Linked DNA regions of Arabidopsis thaliana. The protein of the gene in region 3 binds, or shares a complex with, the protein of the main gene of each other region. Each region holds a gene or a part of one and is shown on either strand. Other genes may lie near its edges. The genes, in order: TIC40, Tic20-II, TIC110 and TIC55-II.

What was found.
Region 1: TIC110 (region 3) and TIC40 share a complex: the UniProt entries of both Arabidopsis thaliana proteins name them as parts of the tic complex.
Region 2: TIC110 (region 3) and Tic20-II share a complex: the UniProt entries of both Arabidopsis thaliana proteins name them as parts of the tic complex.
Region 4: TIC110 (region 3) and TIC55-II share a complex: the UniProt entries of both Arabidopsis thaliana proteins name them as parts of the tic complex.

The regions. Positions count from the first base shown.
Region 1 is NC_003076.8:5,448,619-5,455,093, reverse strand, and holds TIC40 (hydroxyproline-rich glycoprotein family protein), read right to left. Parts: upstream 4,475-6,475; 5' UTR 4,287-4,474; coding exon 4,091-4,286; intron 3,840-4,090; coding exon 3,722-3,839; intron 3,634-3,721; coding exon 3,576-3,633; intron 3,466-3,575; coding exon 3,448-3,465; intron 3,038-3,447; coding exon 2,728-3,037; intron 2,609-2,727; coding exon 2,502-2,608; intron 2,395-2,501; coding exon 2,331-2,394; intron 1,969-2,330; coding exon 1,884-1,968; intron 1,779-1,883; coding exon 1,738-1,778; intron 1,554-1,737; coding exon 1,508-1,553; intron 1,402-1,507; coding exon 1,307-1,401; intron 1,226-1,306; coding exon 1,122-1,225; intron 1,022-1,121; coding exon 974-1,021; intron 892-973; coding exon 838-891; 3' UTR 517-837; downstream 1-516. UniProt on the Arabidopsis thaliana protein: Involved in protein precursor import into chloroplasts. Part of the motor complex consisting of a co-chaperone (TIC40) and a chaperone (HSP93) associated with the import channel (TIC110).
Region 2 is NC_003071.7:19,593,682-19,596,832, forward strand, and holds Tic20-II (putative conserved protein ycf60), read right to left. Parts: upstream 1,321-3,151; 5' UTR 1,277-1,320; coding exon 650-1,276; 3' UTR 506-649; downstream 1-505. Other genes in the region: AT2G47830 (Cation efflux family protein), read right to left, coding at 1-292; AT2G47844 (uncharacterized protein), read left to right, coding at 1,612-1,758; AT2G47850 (Zinc finger C-x8-C-x5-C-x3-H type family protein), read left to right, coding at 2,272-2,359, 2,452-2,591, 2,921-2,983, 3,071-3,151. UniProt on the Arabidopsis thaliana protein: May be involved in protein precursor import into chloroplasts. Not redundant with TIC20-I, TIC20-IV or TIC20-V.
Region 3 is NC_003070.9:2,129,689-2,137,397, reverse strand, and holds TIC110 (translocon at the inner envelope membrane of chloroplasts 110), read left to right. Parts: upstream 1-1,694; 5' UTR 1,695-1,834; coding exon 1,835-2,358; intron 2,359-2,441; coding exon 2,442-2,501; intron 2,502-2,586; coding exon 2,587-2,710; intron 2,711-2,816; coding exon 2,817-2,885; intron 2,886-2,979; coding exon 2,980-3,078; intron 3,079-3,207; coding exon 3,208-3,274; intron 3,275-3,592; coding exon 3,593-3,657; intron 3,658-3,734; coding exon 3,735-3,829; intron 3,830-4,259; coding exon 4,260-4,387; intron 4,388-4,460; coding exon 4,461-4,561; intron 4,562-4,702; coding exon 4,703-4,919; intron 4,920-5,225; coding exon 5,226-5,380; intron 5,381-5,534; coding exon 5,535-5,660; intron 5,661-5,766; coding exon 5,767-6,738; intron 6,739-6,846; coding exon 6,847-7,095; 3' UTR 7,096-7,345; downstream 7,346-7,709. Other genes in the region: AT1G06960 (RNA-binding (RRM/RBD/RNP motifs) family protein), read right to left, coding at 1-134, 252-331, 434-527, 811-983, 1,396-1,468. UniProt on the Arabidopsis thaliana protein: Involved in protein precursor import into chloroplasts. Forms a voltage-dependent cation-selective channel at the inner envelope of chloroplasts, which specifically responds to a transit peptide.
Region 4 is NC_003071.7:10,572,949-10,577,441, reverse strand, and holds TIC55-II (translocon at the inner envelope membrane of chloroplasts 55-II), read right to left. Parts: upstream 2,501-4,493; 5' UTR 2,405-2,500; coding exon 2,010-2,404; intron 1,919-2,009; coding exon 1,816-1,918; intron 1,735-1,815; coding exon 613-1,734; 3' UTR 504-612; downstream 1-503. Other genes in the region: AT2G24830 (zinc finger (CCCH-type) family protein / D111/G-patch domain-containing protein), read left to right, coding at 1-449; AT2G24810 (Pathogenesis-related thaumatin superfamily protein), read right to left, coding at 2,743-2,978, 3,061-3,195, 3,254-3,409, 3,526-3,580. UniProt on the Arabidopsis thaliana protein: Involved in protein precursor import into chloroplasts. Part of the redox regulon consisting of TIC32, TIC 55 and TIC62.

The DNA.
Region 1 (6,475 bases), on a different chromosome or scaffold from region 3:
ACAGAATATCACATACCGTCAAACATTACGATTTTATAACTAAAACACTCTTCAAATGAATACCAAGCAAGGATGGTTTTTTCTCCTCGATTTTCTCAAGAGTCAGGGGATTATAAAGAACGGAAATACAAATTTGAAGTCACAAGGATACTTACCCACGACTCAATCATGCGACTCACAGCCGTCGGAGGCAGACGTATTCGACGGAGCCAAGGATTTCACGCGCCAATTCTCCCGACAACGACCGACGTACGGAATACAACAACAACAAAAAAAAACTCCGACTCCGATAGAAGTGGAACGATAAGGGTCATTGATTTCTTTAAGATGGGGCCATCACTTCATTAAACCGCTTCGATATCGCCACGTCACTTCTCCTTTTGGATATTAAAAATAAGGTAAAATTCCAAAATAAATCACAACTATTTAAAATTTGCGAGAAAAAAACTTCAATTTTTTAAATTGCTAAAACAAAATATTGGCAGATTTATTCACACAATCTCAAACAAAAAAAATTGAGGTTTTTTCAAGCAAATTTTGAATACATGAAGTTTATTTTGGAAATTTTCCCTTAAAAATAATAATTTGCTCTTCAGTGTCTTCATAGACTTTTTTTGGTAAGACAACAAATTCTATTGTATAATATTCATACCAAACAACAGCAGCGGCGTTTTCACACGACTCCAATTCCCGACCGCGTTTAAGATTAACATGGTACACAATTCTCTGATCTGACCAAAACTGAAGACTCTTTGCAAAAAAAAAAACATTTTTTTCTCCCTACAAAAAGCTAAAGACAATGTGACATTTTTGATAGAACCAAAGACGTGAGCTTTTTCAACCCGTCATTCCTGGGAAGAGCTGCGATATCTTGTTGAACACATCCATTACCTGCAATCAATGTATAATAACCTCAAATTTCTTAAAAAAGTAATCGCCTTTTTGGGCAATGGAGAAGTGGCAGTATTATTACCTCTTTGTCGTTTTGGTACTTCATGATGTTCATTGGGTTCTCTGAGCACTGCAACAACAACAAGAATGTAATTGGTTTCTGTTTTGTATGAAGAAAGAAGTGGGGTAAAATTAAGCAATTCTCTTATTCAGGTTAAAAGAAAACGTACTTCCATTAACGCTGCTTGGACTCTAGGATTCTGGAATGCCATGGCAACATCAGGGTTCTCCATGATCTTAGATATGACTTCTTCTGGAGTTAGTCCTATTTGATCTGACAAATACAGATTCAATCATTGAGTATCAGACCTATTTAACGTACTATTAACTTGGTACAAACTGAGATTTGTCTTACTGAATTGTTGCTTCACTTCAGGACTATTCAGGTCAAAATTCTTCAATGTATCTGTCATTCGCTTGTCCCATTCACCACTCCCACTCATATTATTCCTAAATTCATGAAAAGAAACAAACAAGAGTATTTCTTAATTACATAGTTTAGACATTCTTAAAAGCAATGGAAACAACTAAATTGTTCGTAAAATGGAGCTCTTACAACATGTCCTGTAGTTGTTGACGGTACTGAGGATTTTTAAGCATCCCTACAAAATTCCAAGCGGAGACAATAAGTACCAAACTGTATTTTAAATTTAGATAACCATTGGATCAACCTATAAACGAATTACATCATTCAAAAGCTAGTCATGTAACCTTTAGTCTTTAGAAATATGTAAAAATGAGGACTAATAAAAGAATGATAGCAGGATTAAATATTAAAAGACTTACATTTGAAAGTTTCTGGGTTCCTCATCTCCTCAGGCAAGTATCTGCATTTATACATGCAATGTTACCAAATGTCCACTAAGCAACCAGTTTTAAAGATAAACTTAATGGATGCATTTAAAGACAATGTGCTAGGGAAGATGAGTTACGGGTAAACCATCTTCTGGACTGTTGGATCTTCCATCATTTTCTCTAAAGCTTCTACAGATAAACCCGGCCCTCCTTTCCCACCACCTGTGTAAACAATAGACAGACTCAGGATTCAGTTTTAAATTTAGAATAAGGAAAAGAGAGACAATAACGTGAGCATATAAGAAAAAAGAATCATAACACATGAGATATGAAACAGATTGCCAAGGTAATATCCTGCAAGTCTTATATGGTTATACCAATACAGATCAACGACTAGCAGAAGGACAAAAGTAACGGAGTAGATCCTTTTGAAGCCAACTCATTCCTCTTTATCACCAATTTCATATCTTCCTTTGTTTATAATTGTTGGCATATGCTATAAAATAAAATTGAAATCCGTAGCCTTAATCATGAATCATGCACAGTGCGCTGATAGTGATGAAAACTGAAATTCAATAACTCACCCAAAGATTGAAAAACCTCTGAAGCAGTGGCACCATTTGCCGGACCAGCTCCATTTTGCAAGACCTTCACCCAGAGATCAATAAGAGAGCATAGAAGGTTAGCAAAACTATGTCACGTTTTTAAATCACCACTTGGTGTGCTGTGGAAATACAAAAGAAAACGAAACTTACATCCTCAAACAAGCGAGTTTCTTTGGGGGAATTAGTTTCAGAGACTTCTGCATAGTTGCTAAATGGGCTTTCTTTTGTGGTTTCCTCGGGTGAAATGTCTTCAAAGGCTGCATCCAAAAGTAAATCAGCTTCCAAGTTAGAAGCTTGGAAAATGAGAAAGGAAGAAAGTCAAAATTGAGAATACAAATGAAAAGACGTTGATTTCTGAAACAGAAAAAGAATCTACCATAGTTCTTTTCTTCTTTCTTCTCTTTGCTTGCCTCTAAGACAACACTTGGCTTATCCACCTCTATATCCTTTGCAGGTGTAGGTTTCGGTTTAGTTGAAGGAGGTGTCTCTACTTTTGTCGCTGTCACATCAACGGTAGCACCTGAAGACTGGGATTGAGATTGGAATGGCGAGGAAGCAGGACTTGTTTGAGGAGGAAATGGAAACGGAAAAGGTGATCCTGATGGGAATCCAGAATTATTAAACTGGCTATTTTGCGTATTCATTTGGTTCATCATCGTCTTCATAGCTGTTTGCATTGCATATTTCTAAACCAAAGCAAAAAAAAAAATCCAAAGAGAGTAACAGCCGGTTAGAGAATAATGAGAGAAAGCAATGACAACTTGTATAATATATTTCAATCAAATACTGGAGTTGCGAAAATGACTATAAGTCTGAATACCTGAGTTGCATCACTAAAACCATAATGGTATGTAGGTTACCATCTACGAATCAAGTGACTACCCAAAAAAAGAGAGGCAAAAGTTCGATGCTTATATAAACGGTTCAACAAGTGTGAGCAAACAGTTCACCTTGTTAAGATAACCAGTTTAGTGAATAAAACTATCTCAGATACATGAGCACAATACACTAGAGTTGACATGAAGCATAAAATCGTGGTTCTGCAACAGACTAGAGAACAAAAGTCCCGTAAAACCAGAGGGCCAAGTATCTGTACCTTTAAATTTGAAGTTACCTGCAATGCCATCAGAAAAGAAAAAAGGTCAAGCACTTATTAATCAATATTGAAGCAAGAAAGAATATTTATAGAGGAAAAAAAAATTAGGAAGGAATCTTGATACTCACATATGAGAACAAAGCTGATAGACCAACACCAACACCAATCCAGAAAAGTGGTGATCCTCTACAAGAAAAAAGAAAAAACACAATTTAATAACCAAGAATCAAACGACATACAAACTAAGCACATTGTCCAAAACCAGGAAAATTACATGGTTGATGAAGATGGTGGTGGCACAGGCACACTAGGGGAAGCAACAGAAGTTGTCTGTTGATCACGACTCGAAGAAAATATACTTGCAAAAGCTTTGCTTCTCTGTTTCACAACCACTGCAAATCGAACATAAACTTAAAGTAAACAATTCTAACAATGAATGGTTTCTACAAGAATTCAAATTGCAAATTCACAAAGTGTGGATTTTTTTAAGAGATATAGCAATTCATAAGCTCATATTAAACCAGTCGAAAAGGGTTCGCAATTTGAGTTTCAATAAGATAGATAAAAGTAATAAACTGGAAATTTTTCCGGAAAATTTTGGCATTTGCTATAATAGAGTGTCGAGTGGAATTTGCAAACTAACCGATTTCTCCAGTGTTCTCCGGACGCGAAGAGGGAGATTGAGATTGAGCAGAGGCAGATATTTTGGAACACCGGAGGACAATATTAGGAGTCCGACGAGAAAACCCAGTAGGGTTTTTCAGCGAGGAAGTGAAATTGCATCCAATTAACAGCTTTGGAGAAGAAGCTGAGCAAGAAACTAGGGTAAGGTTCTCCATATCTAATTGTTTCTTTGGGAGAAAAAGAAACAGAAGAAGGAGAGCCTAAAACAAATTCTGGTGGAGAAGATGAAAGATATGATGAGGAAGAAGGAAACGAAGAAGAAGAGATTTTGGTCTAAAACCACGAGGTTTGAGTTTAGCACTAGACTTGGATCCAGTGTAGCTAAGTGTACTGAAACCTTTTTACAAATTAACAGGTGGCGATATTTTCACCGTCAAGATCAATGAGTTTTATTTATAAACCAAGGGTGTGATGTGAGTGAGAAACTCTTTCGAGATTATTGCAAAAGCCATCCCCCACTTTTTCTTTTTGTTATGTTATAGCCCGTATCTATTTTAAGAATCAGTGTACACTCATTTTTGTAGCAGAAAATCAATGATGTTAGTACTGTGATTCAGATTTTTCTATATACTGTGTTCTTTTTCTTTTTTTCATCCAGAATTTTTCCATTGTATTATAGGTTGTGAAATACAAAGGGTGGAATACAAATTTGAAACACAAAGCCGGCGGAAAACAAAAATATCTCCGGAAACTAAACCTAAAGAAGGGAAAACTTAAGACGAAAAACGAATAAAATTACGAACTATGGAAACAAGGGGAACCACAGATGGATTAGTCCCCAATTAAGCCCATACATGAGAACAACAAAATTGGCTAGGTTTTTCGTTGTGTTTCTCGTCCAAACGAATGAGACTACGCCCAAATGGGACTAATCCATTTGTAGTTATACTGTTGTGTTTTTCGGATTGTCCAAAAAATTGAATACTTAGTTCAAAGCTCACAATGAACAGGTTCAAGAGCCTTACGCCTTTAACATTGATTTAGGATTAGAGAGTCTGGAACCGTTGCCGAGTTACATAGTTTACACATTTCTTATTAGAAAAGAGTTTTAGTAATAAAGAAAGATACACTTTCATATAGTTTCTGAATATTATTATGGAAGTGTAAGTCTCCTATATGTAACTCGTTCACCTTCATCATCAAATTGGTTTACACAGTTTGTTCCATATGTCATTCCCAAAGTACATTGTTCTGTCAAATTATTCCACCATGTGGTAAACATCGAATAATGCTCTCTTCTATTTTCCCAATTTTTTGTGAATTTTCCCCAATTCGAACATAAAATGACATTAAAATTCCTAACTCAATATCTTTGTAAGAAGAAACCCACTCTTGGTTGGATACATATCAAGCATCCAAAAAAGATCACAAAGTAATCTTACAAATCAGCTACGTTTAACAATATCGAAGACAAAAACAGAATTCATAGCTGCTTCTCAGACAAAGGGCACAATGATTCCACATATGAGTGCTTGAGAAAATGATAATGTTCTTCAAGATTTAAACTAAGAAAAATATCGAACAAGAGCTCTACACTGATCTCTTCCTTGATCTAAAACACAAAGGGAAACAAATCCCCTTCAAGTATTTTAGATCAAAGTGTCATCAAGCAATACATATAGCTCAAGAACTCTTTCTTTGGATTAAATCAAGAAGAACCACATCACATTCTCAAGCCCATCTTTTCAGTGTGGTTAAAGCAATATAATCATCATAGAACAGCCAAAAAAACAAACCAATTTTTTTTTTTAAAACAACAAATTTAGAAAAACTGAATATGAGAAAAAGCTGCTTCTCAGACAAGGGCCAAGGTTGTCCACATGAGTGAGCTTGAAAAACGTGAATGTTCTTCAAGCCTCAAACCATGAAAAATGTTGATAAGAGCTCGACATTACTCTCTACCTTAATCTAAACCACAAAGGAGAAAAAGAATCCCCTTCAAGCAACTTAGATCAAAGTGTCATCAAGAAACTCCGAGATCAAATCTAATCTTTCTCTGGTTTGAATCAAGAAGAGCAAAATCACATTCTCAACCCCATCTTTTCAGTGTGGTTAAAGCAAAAAGAATCATCATAGAGCAGCATCAAAAAGCAAATTTTCACAAAACCTTTATTTGAGAAAAGGTTAACACTTTATCATAGAAATTCGAAGATCTAAAATATCCAAACATAAGATCAGAATTAAAAACATAGGAAGATGTCGAATCTCGAGAAAATGCTAGAATCCACGGGAAAAAAAATTCCCAGAATGCTACATGTCCAGAGACTCCAAACCATCAATGAAGATGTTTGATTTAGCATCGGAACATAAGATTTCTTTTAAGCTATACATGAGTGCTAAGCTT
Region 2 (3,151 bases), on a different chromosome or scaffold from region 3:
AGAGATAACCGGTGAGAGCTTTTGCGACAGATAAACCTATATCTGCGGTGAGACCTAGCCGGAATATCTTCTCCCCTTCTTCTCCAGGCTTTTGATATTGCTGGTGATGATCAGGGTGACCAAAATGCCACCTTCTGGAGAAATCGAAACTAGGTTTTTGCGATGAAGAAGAAGATACTCGGAGTGGTGATGATGATGATGATGATGATGGCAGATAACGGCAAGACATATAATATATAGTAGACCTACAAATCCTCGTCGGATTCAGGATTTGAAATCTGATAATACCCATTTTGATTTCAGCTGAGAAACCCTCTCTCCCTCTTTTCTCCGATCAGTTTCCCAAATTGACTTCTCATTCATTGCGCGGTAAGATAGACGGCGCTCATTTTTTTACCGTTTACTTAGTTACCTTTTCACCGACGATTGTAAAATTATACTCAGTCAATGATAGCTTCATTAAAGGCCCCCCATACTGTTCTTTCATATTGGGCCAAATCAAATGTTGGGAGTATAACAAAAAATATTTTTTTTAAAACGGTAATGGTTAATTAACAACACTGATTGATTTGGTCTCTCTTATAAACCAGAAATAACCGATTCTAGAATCGAAAACCCGAACACTGAGTGAGGTAGATATTGGCCGGAATTAGAGTTGTCTACCGGCGGCATCAGCGACAAATGGAATGTATGGAGTTTTGCCGAGTAAGGAGCTGACGACTCCATACACAAAACACATAAAGCTGAAGACGAAAACCCCCGTGTGCCCCCACATCATCGCCTTCATTCCAAACCCGCCTCCTTGACCCGGATCCAGTATTCGGGTCAGCAGCACCGGAACCGCCAGGAGCACATCCAGCGTCACCGCCTGCATCGCGTTGAACCTCACGTACCTACTGAAACTCGTGTTCCTCACCACTCCCAGGTACAGCCCGAAGAATGCCACGAAGCTCGCGTACGGCACCGATCTGTACAGGTTCAGGATTGGGAAGATTGGCTCGAACAGCAATCCCAGCCTTGGGTACTGCGCGAACAGGAACCGCCCGTACTGCAGAGAATTGAAGAACGGCAGCGCGTACGACGCTATCGAAATCACGCGCTCAGTCGCCGGCGTCGGGGTGTAGGAGGCGCGGGTCGTCAAGGCGGTTGCGCGTCTGCTAGAGGGGCGGATCGAGAAGGTTGAGGATCCGGGGAAGGAGAGGCTGAGTGGTCTGCATCTGGGAGCCGACAGGGGATTAGTTAGGGTTTGGTGGAGAGAAAGGCACAGAGACGCCATTCTTTTATTTTTTTGTTTGGGATTTTCGCTGTTTAGTCGGCAGTGTCGATTTGTTGACAAGAAGAGCAAAAAAAAGTAACAGCTCAAACGCTGCCGTTTTCGAATCTAAAATTTGGCCCGCGCACACTAACAACATAATTGGGCCGACTTAGCTATATAAATGGGCCTATATATGGTACTAGAGGGCTTCGTGAACAACAGAAGGTTTTTGTGGCGCCGACAAATGGGAAGCGGAAACGAAGAAATGTGATGGCATTGATTGAAGGCGAGTCGAGTCGAGTCAGACTCGGTCAGAGCGAGTTGAGAGAGCAGTTAAGAAACAGTAGCAGGTAGAAATGACGGATGTGTCCCCACTTTCGGACCAGACCACTTTACTCCCCGAGTTAGCAAGTGAAGTGAGAAAACTGTCTGTGTGTCACATGTTGGCCACTCGCGCGCTATCCCCGCCCAAGGACCTTACCGTCATTTTGGTTGGAAACTAGTAAAAATTAGTTTATTTATTTTTTGTTTGTTGTTTTGTCAAGTAGTATATTTCTTGGAAATATCTTCCCTTTTCTGGGATGCTTTTACTTGGCGACCCAAGGACCAAGAGAGAACCAAAAATAAATCTCACAAAACAAATTAATACAAACTACTACTATATACTATTATTATTTAAAAAAGAATATGAGAAAAAGAAATTGAAAGCTAAAAAAAGAAACAGTAGTGCAGAGGGCAGACCGTACGGTATTCCTGAAGAGCGAAAGAAGAGAGAGAGAGAGAGAGAGACCGACCAAAGAAGAAGCTCCTCTCAATCACTGTCGAAGCATCTCTTCTTCTTCTTCTTCTTTTTTTCTTCTCTCTCAGAGCTTTTCTAATCGGCTTCTCCGGTAAATCTCTGTCGATCCACCGATGAGCTTTTGACATTTACTCTCTTATTAGTTTCTTCTAGTTTGGTGAGAGGAGTTTTTACTAGTATCTTTTTTACTGTACACCAAATCCCTAAATTTAAGGACATGTATGCTCGCAATCCTCCCCTCAATGGCTCACAATCTGCTCAAGCTCCCGACTGGACCCCTGCAGATGCCGATACCGGACTCCAAGGTCTCGCATGCGCTTTGATTCTCAGCAACTGTACGGTCTCTTTAGGGTTTCCGCTAAATGGCCCTGACTGTGCTCAATTTTGTGATTTGCAGAATCGATGTGGCGATTAGGGTTGGGTAGCGACTCGTACCCTGAGAGACCAGGTGCTCCTGACTGTGCCTACTACATGCGAACTGGTGTCTGTGGCTACGGTAATAGATGTCGTTACAATCACCCTCGCGATCGTGCCTCGGTAATTTCTTCCTCTCATTCATTCTTCTTTCTTATTATTGTTCTGAAACCATCCATACTAGGAGGACACAATCAAATGCTTCTCTCTGTTTTTTCCGCAATGTGGGTGATCACTGGCCTTATAGAGTCTCTCTAAACTGGGGAAATTGTTAAGCTTTACTGGTTTCAGTTGTTGTGCTTTACGTCACGTTTTTTTTTGTCTTATGCATTGACTCTACCCGGTGTTTCCCTGTATTTACTGATACCTTTGTATGCTCTTGTAAAAGCTTATCATTTTGTCATCTTAGCTTGGCCACAGTTTACTATTTTCTCATGTTGATTCATGTATAGGTTGAAGCAACTGTTAGAGCTACCGGGCAGTATCCTGAACGTTTTGGTGAACCCCCATGCCAGGTAACCCACCCCGACCAGTCATTTTATATGTTCCAAGTGATGAAACAAGGTTTTTTGTGATATTATTGATCTCTGCTTTCCTGGCAGTTTTACTTGAAAACTGGAACTTGTAAATTTGGGGCGTCATGCAAATTCCACCATCCAAAGAATGCAGGTGGATCCATGAGC
Region 3 (7,709 bases):
CTTATCTCTTTGAATCCTGGGTATTGCTCAAAGAGCAGCTGAAGCATCATACTATTCGTCTCAATGGGAAGATTATGAATGAAGAGTATGTTGTTTGGTGGCATCGTGTCTTGCCCACTCGGCTGGAAAGGAGGCTGTGAAATTACAGAGACGGGTATTAGGAAACAAGGATTTACAGACTAAGTTGCGATAATGACGTCTGTCAGAAGATAATATTGTATTGTTGGAATGATGCGAGAAAGAGAAATTGCCACAGGCATTCCGTTCTGAGTAGTTGCGCCATTAGGCATGCTTGGTTGTTGAGTTTCTTCAGCATGTCGCTTCCTTTCAACTGAAAGTGATGTGCAGTTTTGTTAAACATCAGATGCGAAGTAAAACACAGATGAAATGAGCTGAAAAGATCTGAACTTGTGATGGAAACGAAAGTTTAAACCTTTCTCTTCTTGCTTCATCTTCTTTTCTTTTGGAACAAAAGACCCTTCGGCTTTAGTAACATAATCTGACTTTGATTTTGCATATTGTATCCGCTGCACCCACAGAGATCACACATCACGATTTGAATAATAATATTGCATTTAGCTTTTTCTAGTCTTTTACTTAGTAATCACTTGTGTAATGATATACCCTCAACATCTAATGTCGTTGTACTTCCTTCAATTTTATATAACAACAAGTATCAGCAAGCAAACTCAATTTTCCCTCCAAGTAAATCTCTGCAACTTTCTAAGCTTATAGTCTCACATAACAAGATAAAATCATTTTTCGGTAGCGGGATAGATAAACCTGGAACATAAGAGAGGAAAAAGGTACCATAGGCTTATCATAGAAAGGAAAGTTCTGCATCTGACGGACAGCGTTGCTAGCAGCGGTGACTTCAGTAAAAACAACCCATGCTTGTCCCCGGAGCTTAGGAGTCTTTAACGCAACCACATCAAGTAATCTTCCAAACTGAGAGAACAAACAGTAAAGAGACCTCTTCAGCTCTGAAAAAAACAAGTGGAAACATTAAACAATGATCTGCTTGAACAGCATTACTCTTAGACAAACAAAAGCAGCAGCTAAAGAACTTAAGGTCATTGACTTCAATCAAACAATCTAAACAAATTTCATGGCAAAAGCAATCGCCTTTCCTACTTAATTACTTAAATAAAGCACCTTTGTTAGAGTATCTCTAGTTCAGGTCTATTAAGATTAGACAGAAATTCTAAATCCCTAATACTTAGAAAGATAACTCTAAATGCATCTAATCTAACCTTCGTAAACATCAAATTAAGCAACTTTAAACTCAGACAACTCATTCAAGAGAAGCTCACACAAGCATTACCAAGCTACTTAAGCATTGCAAAAACTCTTAGAAAATCACCGATGCAATTATATGAATTTCGTAAGCATTACCTTCTTTCTTGATCTTCTCATTGATATGTTTTATGTAGATTGACTGATTTGGTGGTATATCAGCCGTTAACATCTTTCAACTGAGCTCCGCGAAGACGACGATGGTCGATGGTCACAGCCCTGAGAAAATTTAGCGAGCCCTAAGAGCCAAGAAGAGAGAAGAAATCGTGGCGTTTCCAATTTACACAAGGCGTCTAATTTGTTTTTTTATGTAAACATCTTACCGTTACCGAAGAGTAAAACAACACGTAGTTTTATAATATTATTAAAAAACGTCTGGACGTTCGAAAGGGGATTTTGATGTTTTGTTAGGCCCTATCTCTTTCCCCTTTTCTTCGTTCGCATCTCTATCTTCTTCCGTTGTCTACTGTTTTTCGTTAAACCCTACGATTCTTCTTTTTTTCAACGACTGCTCGGATCTTTCTCAGTAGAGGGAACCATGAATCCCTCACTCGTCACCGCCATTAACGCTCCAATTTCACCTTCTCCTCGGTCTCCTCTTCTTTCTCACTTCCTACCTACTTTACCTCACCGTTTCTCCAAGTCTGAGTGTCTATCTCGCCGTCGTTATCGAGTTTCGTTCCCTCGTAGCTCAGCTGCTTCCTCCGACCAACTATCAGTATCTACGCAGGCGAAGAATCCCGGTATCCATGGGAATAAGAAGGAGCTCACTGGATTGCAACCGATTGTTGAGAAAATGACACCGCCGGTGAGGCTAGCGACTTCAGCTGTTGTATTAGCGGCGTCTTTAGCTACTGGTTACGGCCTTGGGCTCCGTTTAGCCGGCTCCAGGAATATTGCCTTTGGTGGGGCTGCTGTTGCTGGAGCCGCCGGTGGAGCTGTCGTATATGCGTTGAACTCTGCTGTACCGGAGGTAGCTGCTATCAGTTTGCATAATTATGTTGCCGAATTCGAAGATCCTGCCTCTGTGACGAAAGATGATGTAGAAAAGATCGCTGATAGGTGAGTGCTTCATTTAATTGTCAATTTGTGTCTGGGATTTATAAACAAAAGTTTGCTTAAACGATCCTTCTTATATGTTGCAGGTACGGTGTCAACAAAGGAGACGAAGCATTCCAGGCTGAGATTTGTGATATTTATTGCCGGTGAGTCAACAAAGGATACTGTGTTCATCTTTTCTCTTAGTGTGGGGAATTCATTAGTAATCTTTGCATCTTAATCTTGATTTAGGTATGTAACTTCCGTGCTTCCAACTGAAGGACAGTCTCTTAAAGGGGATGAAGTGGCGAAGATAGTCAAGTTCAAAAATGCTTTAGGGATAGACGAACCTGATGCAGCTGCCATGCACATGGAGGTGCTTTCTAGATTCTTAATCTTCATTTGAATTAGCCGTTAGCCTTTTTGTAGTTGATGCAGAAGGATCTTGATTGCTGAATCACCAATTCCTTGGTTTTGTTTAGATTGGTCGCAGGATTTTTAGGCAAAGGCTTGAGACTGGGGAGCGTGAAGGTGATGCAGAACAGCGTCGGGTGAGTCGCCAGTCCCTAGTATTTGTTAAGTTTATTGTAGGATTGTTCGAAAGAGAGCACAAGCGTGATCACAAGTTGTATGCTTCCAGTGCAGGCATTTATGAGGCTTGTATATGTTTCAGCTCTTGTGTTTGGAGATGCTTCATCCTTCCTTCTACCTTGGAAGCGAGTATTGAAGGTCACAGATGCTCAGGTAGGCATTTCCAATTTTTTTCATACTTCTGATTTTGCGCAATAGTTGTTTTATGGAAGTTTCATTTTGGCAACTCACTCCTTCTTGGTAATCTGAAGTTCTGTGCTAATGTCTTGACCTCATTTCTAGGTTGAGATTGCTATTCGTGAAAATGCAAAGCAGCTGTATGCCGAACGGTTAAAATTAGTTGGTAGAGGTAATGTTGTTCATGTTTTACATTTTGAGATGGGAAGTAATGTTACATTTGTAGAACGGGTTTGAGTTTGCTTGACTTGGTTATATTGATTATTGTGGCACTTCTTTGTCCATTGGGTTTTGTAATATTCGTTTATCAGCAAGTTGTCTGAATACCAACCTTAATTGTTACTTCGCATGCGACTGTAATGGTCCCTTCTCATTTAACATTGATAATAGATATGGCTTTTTGACAACCAAAAAAAGATATGACTTAGCTTTTTCGTCAGCTTAATGCATGGAAACTTACATGGTTATGTTTCTAAACATGTTCTTGCAGATATTAACGTAGAAAACCTTGTGGACCTTAGAAAATCACAACTATCATTCAAGCTCTCTGATGAGGTACTCTATTTCTTTGTGGCATTGACTTCCTGCTATCTCTGGTTGTACTTCTTCTGACAGTTTCTTCTCCCTCATAGCTTGCTGAAGACCTGTTTAGAGAGCATACGAGAAAAGTAGTCGTAGAGAACATTTCATCGGCACTCAGCATACTCAAATCCCGCACACGAGCAGCGTAAATCATTTTAACATATTGCTTACAGAATCATGCATAGAAAAATCGTATAGAATAATCATTATCCATGTGAACAGTTTGGTTACACATTTAACTTTTTTATTTCTTATACCAATGAGTTATGACTTTAGCTGGGTATATGTATTCCTTTGCTTGAACATTGAGTTTGGTCGGGTTGAAAAAAGAGATTGAAGTTTTGGCTTTAGTTTTGAGTTTTGGTTATTGCAAAAACTGATTGGTCATATGATCTCTTTTGCTTTTGTGAATTGTCTTATAGTATAAGTATTTAAAAAAAAGTCATGAGATTTTAATTTTATAGGCGTTTTTGTATCTTGTGATAATTAATAGTGGAAACAAATTGGATCATCTAGTATGTCTAGTTTATAGTAGTTTACAATGCATGTCATTTTAACGACCTGATTTTTTCCAGGAAGAGTTTGGCATCTGTCGTGGAAGAGCTTGAAAAAGTACTGGAGTTTAACAACCTGCTAGTTTCCTTGAAAAGTCATTCAGAGGCAGATCAATTTGCACGCGGGGTTGGCCCTATTTCTTTGATAGGTGAAGATGCTTTTGACCTTCTCTTTTCTGAAGAAAAATTATTGGCTCTCAACCTTGGATCTATGTGGCTTAGGTGATGAGTCTGATTTTGAGAGGAGAATGGATGATTTAAAGCTCCTTTATAGAGCATATGTTACAGATGCTTTATCTGGTGGGCGCTTAGAAGAAAATAAGGTATACTCAGTTTTGTATAAGATATTATGTACTAAAGCTTAGTTGCAAGTTTTTTTGAGAGTAAGTGTTTTCAGATGCTGTGTCCTCTATCCCAGTCGCATGTTTTTTTCCATTTCTAATTGTCTTTCTACTGTATGGTAGCTCGTGGCAATGAGCCAACTTAGAAACATACTCGGTCTGGGAAAACGAGAGGCTGAAGCTATTAGTGTTGATGTTACGTCCAAGTCTTACCGTAAAAGACTTGCTAACGCTGTTTCTAGTGGTGACCTTGAAGCACAAGACAGTAAAGCAAAATACCTTCAAAAGCTCTGCGAAGAGCTGCACTTTGATGCACAGAAGGCAGGCGCAATCCATGAAGGTATAAGCCGAACCTTCTGTTCACAATGAAATCTTATGTTTTTATGTTATGCATGAGGTATACAGTTGGAATTGCCACATAATCGCCCAAATGTAAGATGTGTCCATGGGTATCAATTTAGTTGATGGCTTGTAAACTTGCGGGTTCCTTATCCTTTTAAGCTAGCTTTTAGTGTTGTAGATTTGGTTCTTAACAGACTTCTAACAAGTCTGGTGTTTCAGTGGGTTACATGCTGTTATTTTACAGTTTGAGTATCTATTTGGTCTTTTTTTCCCAATCATCTGACAAGCACCTTCTCTTCCTCAGAAATCTATCGGCAGAAGCTTCAACAGTGTGTTACTGATGGAGAGCTGAGCGATGACAATGTTGCTGCTTTATTAAGGTTAAGAGTTATGTTGTGTATTCCCCAGCAAACTGTTGATACAGCTCATGCAGAAATCTGTGGAACCATATTTGAAAAGGTAATCCAGTTATCACCTCCCTTTTCCCTTTATCAAGGGTTTTTTCATGGTCTTGGGTCTTGGCACTGCAATTTCCCTCTGCTTCCCTCTCTGCCTTCGCATTTTGTTACCAAAAGGTTTTACCTCTAATTACCTTTTTGTTTAATCTTTCCAGGTTGTCAGGGATGCCATTTCTTCTGGAGTGGATGGTTATGATGCTGAAACTCGCAAATCAGTTAGAAAGGCTGCACATGGTCTTCGGTTATCCAGAGAGACTGCCATGTCTATTGCTAGCAAAGCTGTGAGTATCACACTATTTACTTTCTCCATGCTTGGTATTAGGATTTGTTAAAATTTTCTGACTTCTCATAGCAAGACATGAAAATCAAATCCCTTCATTGATGCAGGTCCGTAGGGTTTTCACAAACTATATCAGACGAGCAAGAGCAGCCGAGAACCGTACTGATTCAGCAAAGGAGCTCAAGAAGATGATTGCTTTCAACACGTTGGTTGTGACTGAAATGGTGGCTGATATCAAGGGAGAATCTTCTGATAAGGCACCTGAGGAGGACCCTGTTCAAGAGAAAGAAGAAGATGATGAAGATGAAGAATGGGGATCCCTTGAATCGCTCAGAAAGACAAGACCCGACAAGGAACTCGCTGAGAAAATGGGAAAGCCTGGCCAGACTGAGATAACTCTCAAAGATGACCTTCCCGACAGGGACAGAATAGATCTCTACAAAACATACTTGCTCTACTGTGTAACTGGAGAGGTAACAAGAATCCCTTTTGGCGCCCAGATCACAACAAAGAGAGACGATTCAGAGTACTTGCTTCTAAATCAGCTTGGTGGGATTCTCGGATTGAGTTCGAAAGAAATAGTCAACATTCACGTAGGTTTAGCCGAGCAGGCTTTTAGGCAACAAGCTGAAGTGATTTTAGCTGATGGGCAATTGACAAAGGCTAGAGTAGAGCAGCTAGACGAGTTGCAAAAACAAGTTGGTTTGCCTCAGCCACAAGCCGAGAAGGTTATCAAGAATATAACCACCACAAAAATGGCAAACGCGATAGAGACCGCTGTTAACCAAGGAAGACTGAACATAAAGCAGATACGGGAGCTCAAGGAGGCAAATGTCAGCCTGGACAGCATGATCGCTGTGAGTCTGAGAGAGAAATTATTCAAGAAGACAGTGAGTGACATCTTCTCATCAGGAACTGGTGAATTCGATGAAACCGAAGTCTACCAGACAATCCCATCCGATCTCAGTATTGATGTGGAAAAAGCCAAAAGAGTTGTCCATGATCTCGCTCAGAGTAGATTATCGAATTCGCTGGTCCAAGCCGTGGCATTACTCAGGCAGAGAAACTCTAAAGGAGTGGTATGCAAATCATCTTTTCCCTCTCTTATCGTGACAGAAAACATGGATATTTCAGCTTCTGGGTCTAAATTGTGTATGTATGTATGCTTTTTTTTTTTGGTTTTACAGGTCTTGTCGCTGAATGATTTGCTTGCATGTGACAAAGCTGTGCCGGCTGAGCCAATGTCATGGGAGGTCTCAGAGGAATTATCTGATCTATATGCTATTTATTCAAAGAGTGATCCCAAACCCGCACCGGAAAAAGTTTTGAGGCTACAATATCTGCTGGGAATAGATGATTCAACTGCAACTGCCCTCCGTGAAATGGAAGATGGAGCATTATCTTCTGCTGCAGAAGAGGGCAATTTCGTCTTTTAAATCTTTGGAGAAATCACTTGAGTTATTATGTATTGTGTTACGGCCGAGGGTGGAAAAATGATTTTGAATTTGAAATTTGACCAAAGTCTGTGAAAATTTTGTATCAGAACCATAAACTTGATATGATTAATTTGAAAATCTGCAAACGAGAAGTGTATCCCTTATACAATTTAGAGCGCAGCTTTGAAGTGCTCATGTGGTGTCACGTGACGGGTGTTCCCGCATAACGAACCTAAAAAATAGAATAACAGTTAATTCAATCATTGAGAACTTTTTTTTTAATGAAATGATTTGACCGTAACACCGTAAGTGAAAGTTAATTGTTAATTCTATGGTGGTCTCACATGACTGCACACAACTAGAACAATACTCAACAATCAACATGTATACTAGATCTGATCTCGTTATAGTATGTTTTTGTCGAAATTTCTAATTATACAAAAGCACGTCTTTTAAAGACAAAAATAGAAGCCATATGATCCAATCAATTGATTCATAGAGATGATGATATGAATCGATGAAACATAGTTTTTAGAAATTATTTCCAAGATTACAAAAAAAGAAAAAAAAGAAGTGAAAATTAATAAGAAAATAGGAGAGAGTTAAATATAAGA
Region 4 (4,493 bases), on a different chromosome or scaffold from region 3:
GGAATGGAGAATGTAAAAGCGAGAAACAAAAGAAGAAAAGGAGCAGAGGTGGGAAAAGGAAGCGTGGGAAGAAGTTTGCAGAAGCAGCTAAAGCAGCGAAACAGGAAGAGGAATCGAAGCCAGATTTGTTTAGCTTAATCAATGAACAAATTTTTCCTACCCGCCATGAGAAAGTACACAGCGAGTCTGTAAAAAATAGGCAAAACAAAGGTCCAGTAGACAGGAAAGCTTTGGTTGAATACCAAGATGAAGTCAGAGACTTGAAGTTAGAAATGTTGAAACTAGAACAGATGGTGAACAGAAACAAGAAAGATCTAGTTGTTTCAGAGGCTGCGACGAGAAGATTGAAAGAAGTCCGAAAGGCATTGGCAAGTACATTAGCATGTCAAGCAGCTGCCTCAAATGCTATAGTAAGCAAAGAGAATGAGAAGAAATGGCTCAAGTTTTAGAACATAGAACTTTAAACCAGTTTAACAGAAATTTCATGGTTAAACTGTAAGATTGATGGCAAACATTGGAACCTTCTGAATTATATAATTGCGTTTACAAGCAAAAATTTATTTCATGAAATACATATTGTTGGAAGAAGAGGAAACATGACACTATACATTTTCATAGTCTTCTGTGTGTTCTAATGAAGTTATTGGTGTTTAGATTTATAGCTCTTAAGCAGGTATAAGCTGCGGCTGAGCACAATGCTGCTGAACCTAACAGGACAGCCTTCCACTGTCTACTAACCACCAGAATGGCCAAAGCCGTCAAAGCCACTGCCGTGGCAGAGAGGATATTTTTCCAGAGCTCAAAAGATTTGATCACATTGCTGCAGCTTCTACAATGAATAATATGTCTGAAGTACCGGTTAGCCAAATTGGGAGCATGCATAGTCCCAATTCCGCCTTTTGCAGGGTAAGAAGCAGAGAGAGCTGCAATGAGCCCTGCCGGGGCATGTTCCACGACAGGAGGGACTTTGGGGAGAGATATGGTCCTATGCCCGAAATGGTAAGGCATCCCATGACCAACTTTGTCCATCCACTTTCTATATTCAGCGACCCATGTGTCCGATGACTTTAGATTCAAATACAAGTCCTTAGTTGGTACTTTCTCCTTCATCAGAACCTCATTTTGAGACGATAGAAACCCCATGTCTTGTTCAAAAACCTTGCAGGCATTCTGATGCCAGAACCATTGAGGTAACACCGAAACCAAAGGCGATCTTTTTGTGACCCCAAACCTAACAATAAGCATAGACTTCCCTTGCCCTGTAGGTCTACAAAGAAACAGCCCTGAAAAATAGTTCTTCACTCCATCCTTCCCCTCGAACTCTCGATTGTTCTGCAGAACACAAGGAGCATCAAACCGAAGTAAATTACTCCCTTTCCCACCTTCTTTCTCTCGGCCCCAAGTCCCTGCGAAACCCCGATTACTTCGCTCTGTGACCTCGAAAACCAAAGGCTGAGCATCTTCTCTTTTAGCAGTGAAATCCGTTCTATCATGAGAGATAGGAACATGAGCAGGATCCATCAGATTCTCTAAAAGAATGGAATGGTCATAAGGAAGCTCATGAGTAGTCGAAATGTCGAAAAAACCGGGTCTAGCGAAATTCTCAAACCAAGGAAGCTTCTCAGGGTTTGGAGGTGTCTTTGTTGACATCCACACCCACACAACTCCTTGTGAATCCTTCACCTCATACGTCTTCACACAAGCAGCCTTTGGAATCTTAGCACTTGCAGGAAGCTGTTAGAAACAGAACCCAAAACCAGTAAGTACAGAGTAAAGAGAAAATCTCGAAATAGCAAAAATCAGTAAACAAAGAACCTGAGGAATCTTGACACATTTGCCCTCTCCTTCAAATTGCCAACCATGATACAAACATTCCAATCTCCCATCAATCAATTGTCCTTCAGACAACTTAGCCAACCTTTATAAAAAAAAAGACAAAACTCAATTTCAGATTCCTAAACAAAAGTACAAAACTAGTGGTTGTGGTTTTGCTAGATGATTTATCTTACCGATGAGGACACCGATCTTCGTAACAACGAAGTGTTCCTTCACCGTCTTTATACAAAACAATTTGACGATCGTAGACGGTGAGGCCAAGAGGCGCATCTTCAGGGACGTTTTTAGTTAAGTACAATGGATACCATTCCTCTGTCCAATCATAATCCGCCACCTCAACACGTTTCTCTTCTTCAGGGTTTAAAAGAACATCTCCACCTCCTTCTGTTTGATCAGATACGGCGGTTCCAGCGACGGCGGAGCGGCGGAGGAGACGTAGACGAGGCTTTGTGGGTATAGTGCATGTTGATCTGTGGTTGTGGATTATTGGTGTTGGTGTTACTTTAGTGAAGAGAATCGGAGAAGTGGGTGTGAGTTGTAGAGAAGAGCTTAGAAATGGAACAGCCATGGCGGATTCTTCACTAGAGAGCTCGAATCCAATGTTAGGTGTTGTTTGCCTCTTCTCATAAAATATATCATAAGGTTGCTTGTTCAACCATTGGACCTCGTTCCACCACATACATAGATAGTAGAAACTTTGGCTAAACGACGTCGTTTATTTTTACGTTATTTAAATGTCATTTTAACTTCTTTTTATTTTATTTTTAATCTTTTAAGTTTTAACATTAGTCTTTTTTGCTTTAATACATTTCATAGTGATGAAAAAAAAACATAAAACTATGTTAATAGTGATTAATTATTTATTCATTGTTGATAATAATAACAATAAAAAAGGCTATACTATGCCTAAGAACAGAAACTGATAACATAATTAGCACTAGTACATGTAAATCTACTCGAAGCATAATCGTACACATAGCTATACGCAGTGGGACAAGCTCCTTTAAATATCTTCGAGTATTTCGTCGGCGGGCAAGTCTCCGGTTTACTGAAAGCGCCGGTGCAACAATACTCCGGTTTGTTAAAAGCCTCACAAGCACTCTTACACGCCACAACACCCGATGAGCCGTTAACGCGTAGCTCTTTTGGACAAATGGCATTCACGTCCGAAACACATCCCGCGGTTTTACAATTGCCTGAGCCACCTTGTGGTGTGATTTTCACCTGAACGTTGTAACCGTCGACGAGACTCACGTCGTAAGAATCTTGTACGGTGTATTTCTTTCCAGAGGAGCCGATTCTGAATTCTGCTAGTGTGGCTGGTGGTGCTCCTCTTGCACCGGTGCATTTTTACATTTTCTGGAACCAGAGGCGTTGAAGTTGCAGCCCGTTCGACCCCAGATTCGACCAGACCAACCTGGAGAAACGGTTAAGTTTACAGAAGAACCTGAAGCTAAGGCAAATCCGCCGCCGCGGAGTAGTGTGCGGTTTGCGGTTAGGATTCCGGGCCACACAGTAAAGTTGCAGCGGTTTGATAAAGTGAAGACGGTGCCGGAGACAATAGAAATTGTACCTTGAAGAATATACAATTAAAAAAAAATTACTAGGACGGACAACAAAAAAAAATTATCAGATAAATTATTAAATCAAAGTAGTCATCTTAAAATGTTGGAAATGTTTTATGTATACATGTGGCTATGATGAAGGAGAAGAAGAGAAGATGTAATTTGGAGAAAATAGCCATTGTTAATCTGAGTATTGAAAAGTTGAAGTTGTGATGATTAGTGAAAGTTGATGGTGAGGATCCTCTGTTTATAGTGTTTTTCTTTTCTTTAGAAACAAATCCATTAACTTATTGTTTTGGATACTACTACCATAAGTGACACTTCATATTTTTATTTTTTTTACTTTTAAAGTTTAATGAGATTTTGTTTCTTATTACATAAAAATCAACTTTATTAATCTTAAGGAAATCTCCGTAAGCATTGATGTTTTGGATTTTACACACATTAAAAATTAAACATTATTTTATGACTGTTTATTTTTTATATTAAATATTTTTAATAACTATAAACTAATACTCATTGATTGTAATCTAATAAATTTAATCATTGCATCCTGAACTTTGTGATTTATAATATCAGTCAATAAAGAAGAAAAGAAAAAAAAAACTACAAAATTAAAGTGGAATAAACTTAAAATGATTAGAAAAAGATGGAGTACATTTTTTCTATTATTTTTTCACAAAGCTTTAAACCTAACATTAAAAAATTTGCTTGTTTTGTTTCCTTCGAAATTATAAGATTATTGCTTAATTAGGTTATTGAATTCGAGTCCAAAGCCACGACCCCCAGGTTTTAAAATCCAAATATCTCCGTTGCTTGTTTATTTTTGTTCTATATCGAGTTTATTATCTAAAAACGACAAACCTTTTACTGATTTCCACCATTTCTTGTACTTTTCAGGTTTTCTGAGACATGAAAGACAAAGAATTGGCTTATCAACAGAAACTATCAACAAATAAAGAGTTTCTGAAGCACATTATTAGATCCTTTTGTACATTTTTCTATTTATAGATTCTCTCTTCTTTTTTTGTATGCAAAAGTGACATATACTATAACAAGTCAAAGAAAGATGAATTCAATAAGCATGAGTGA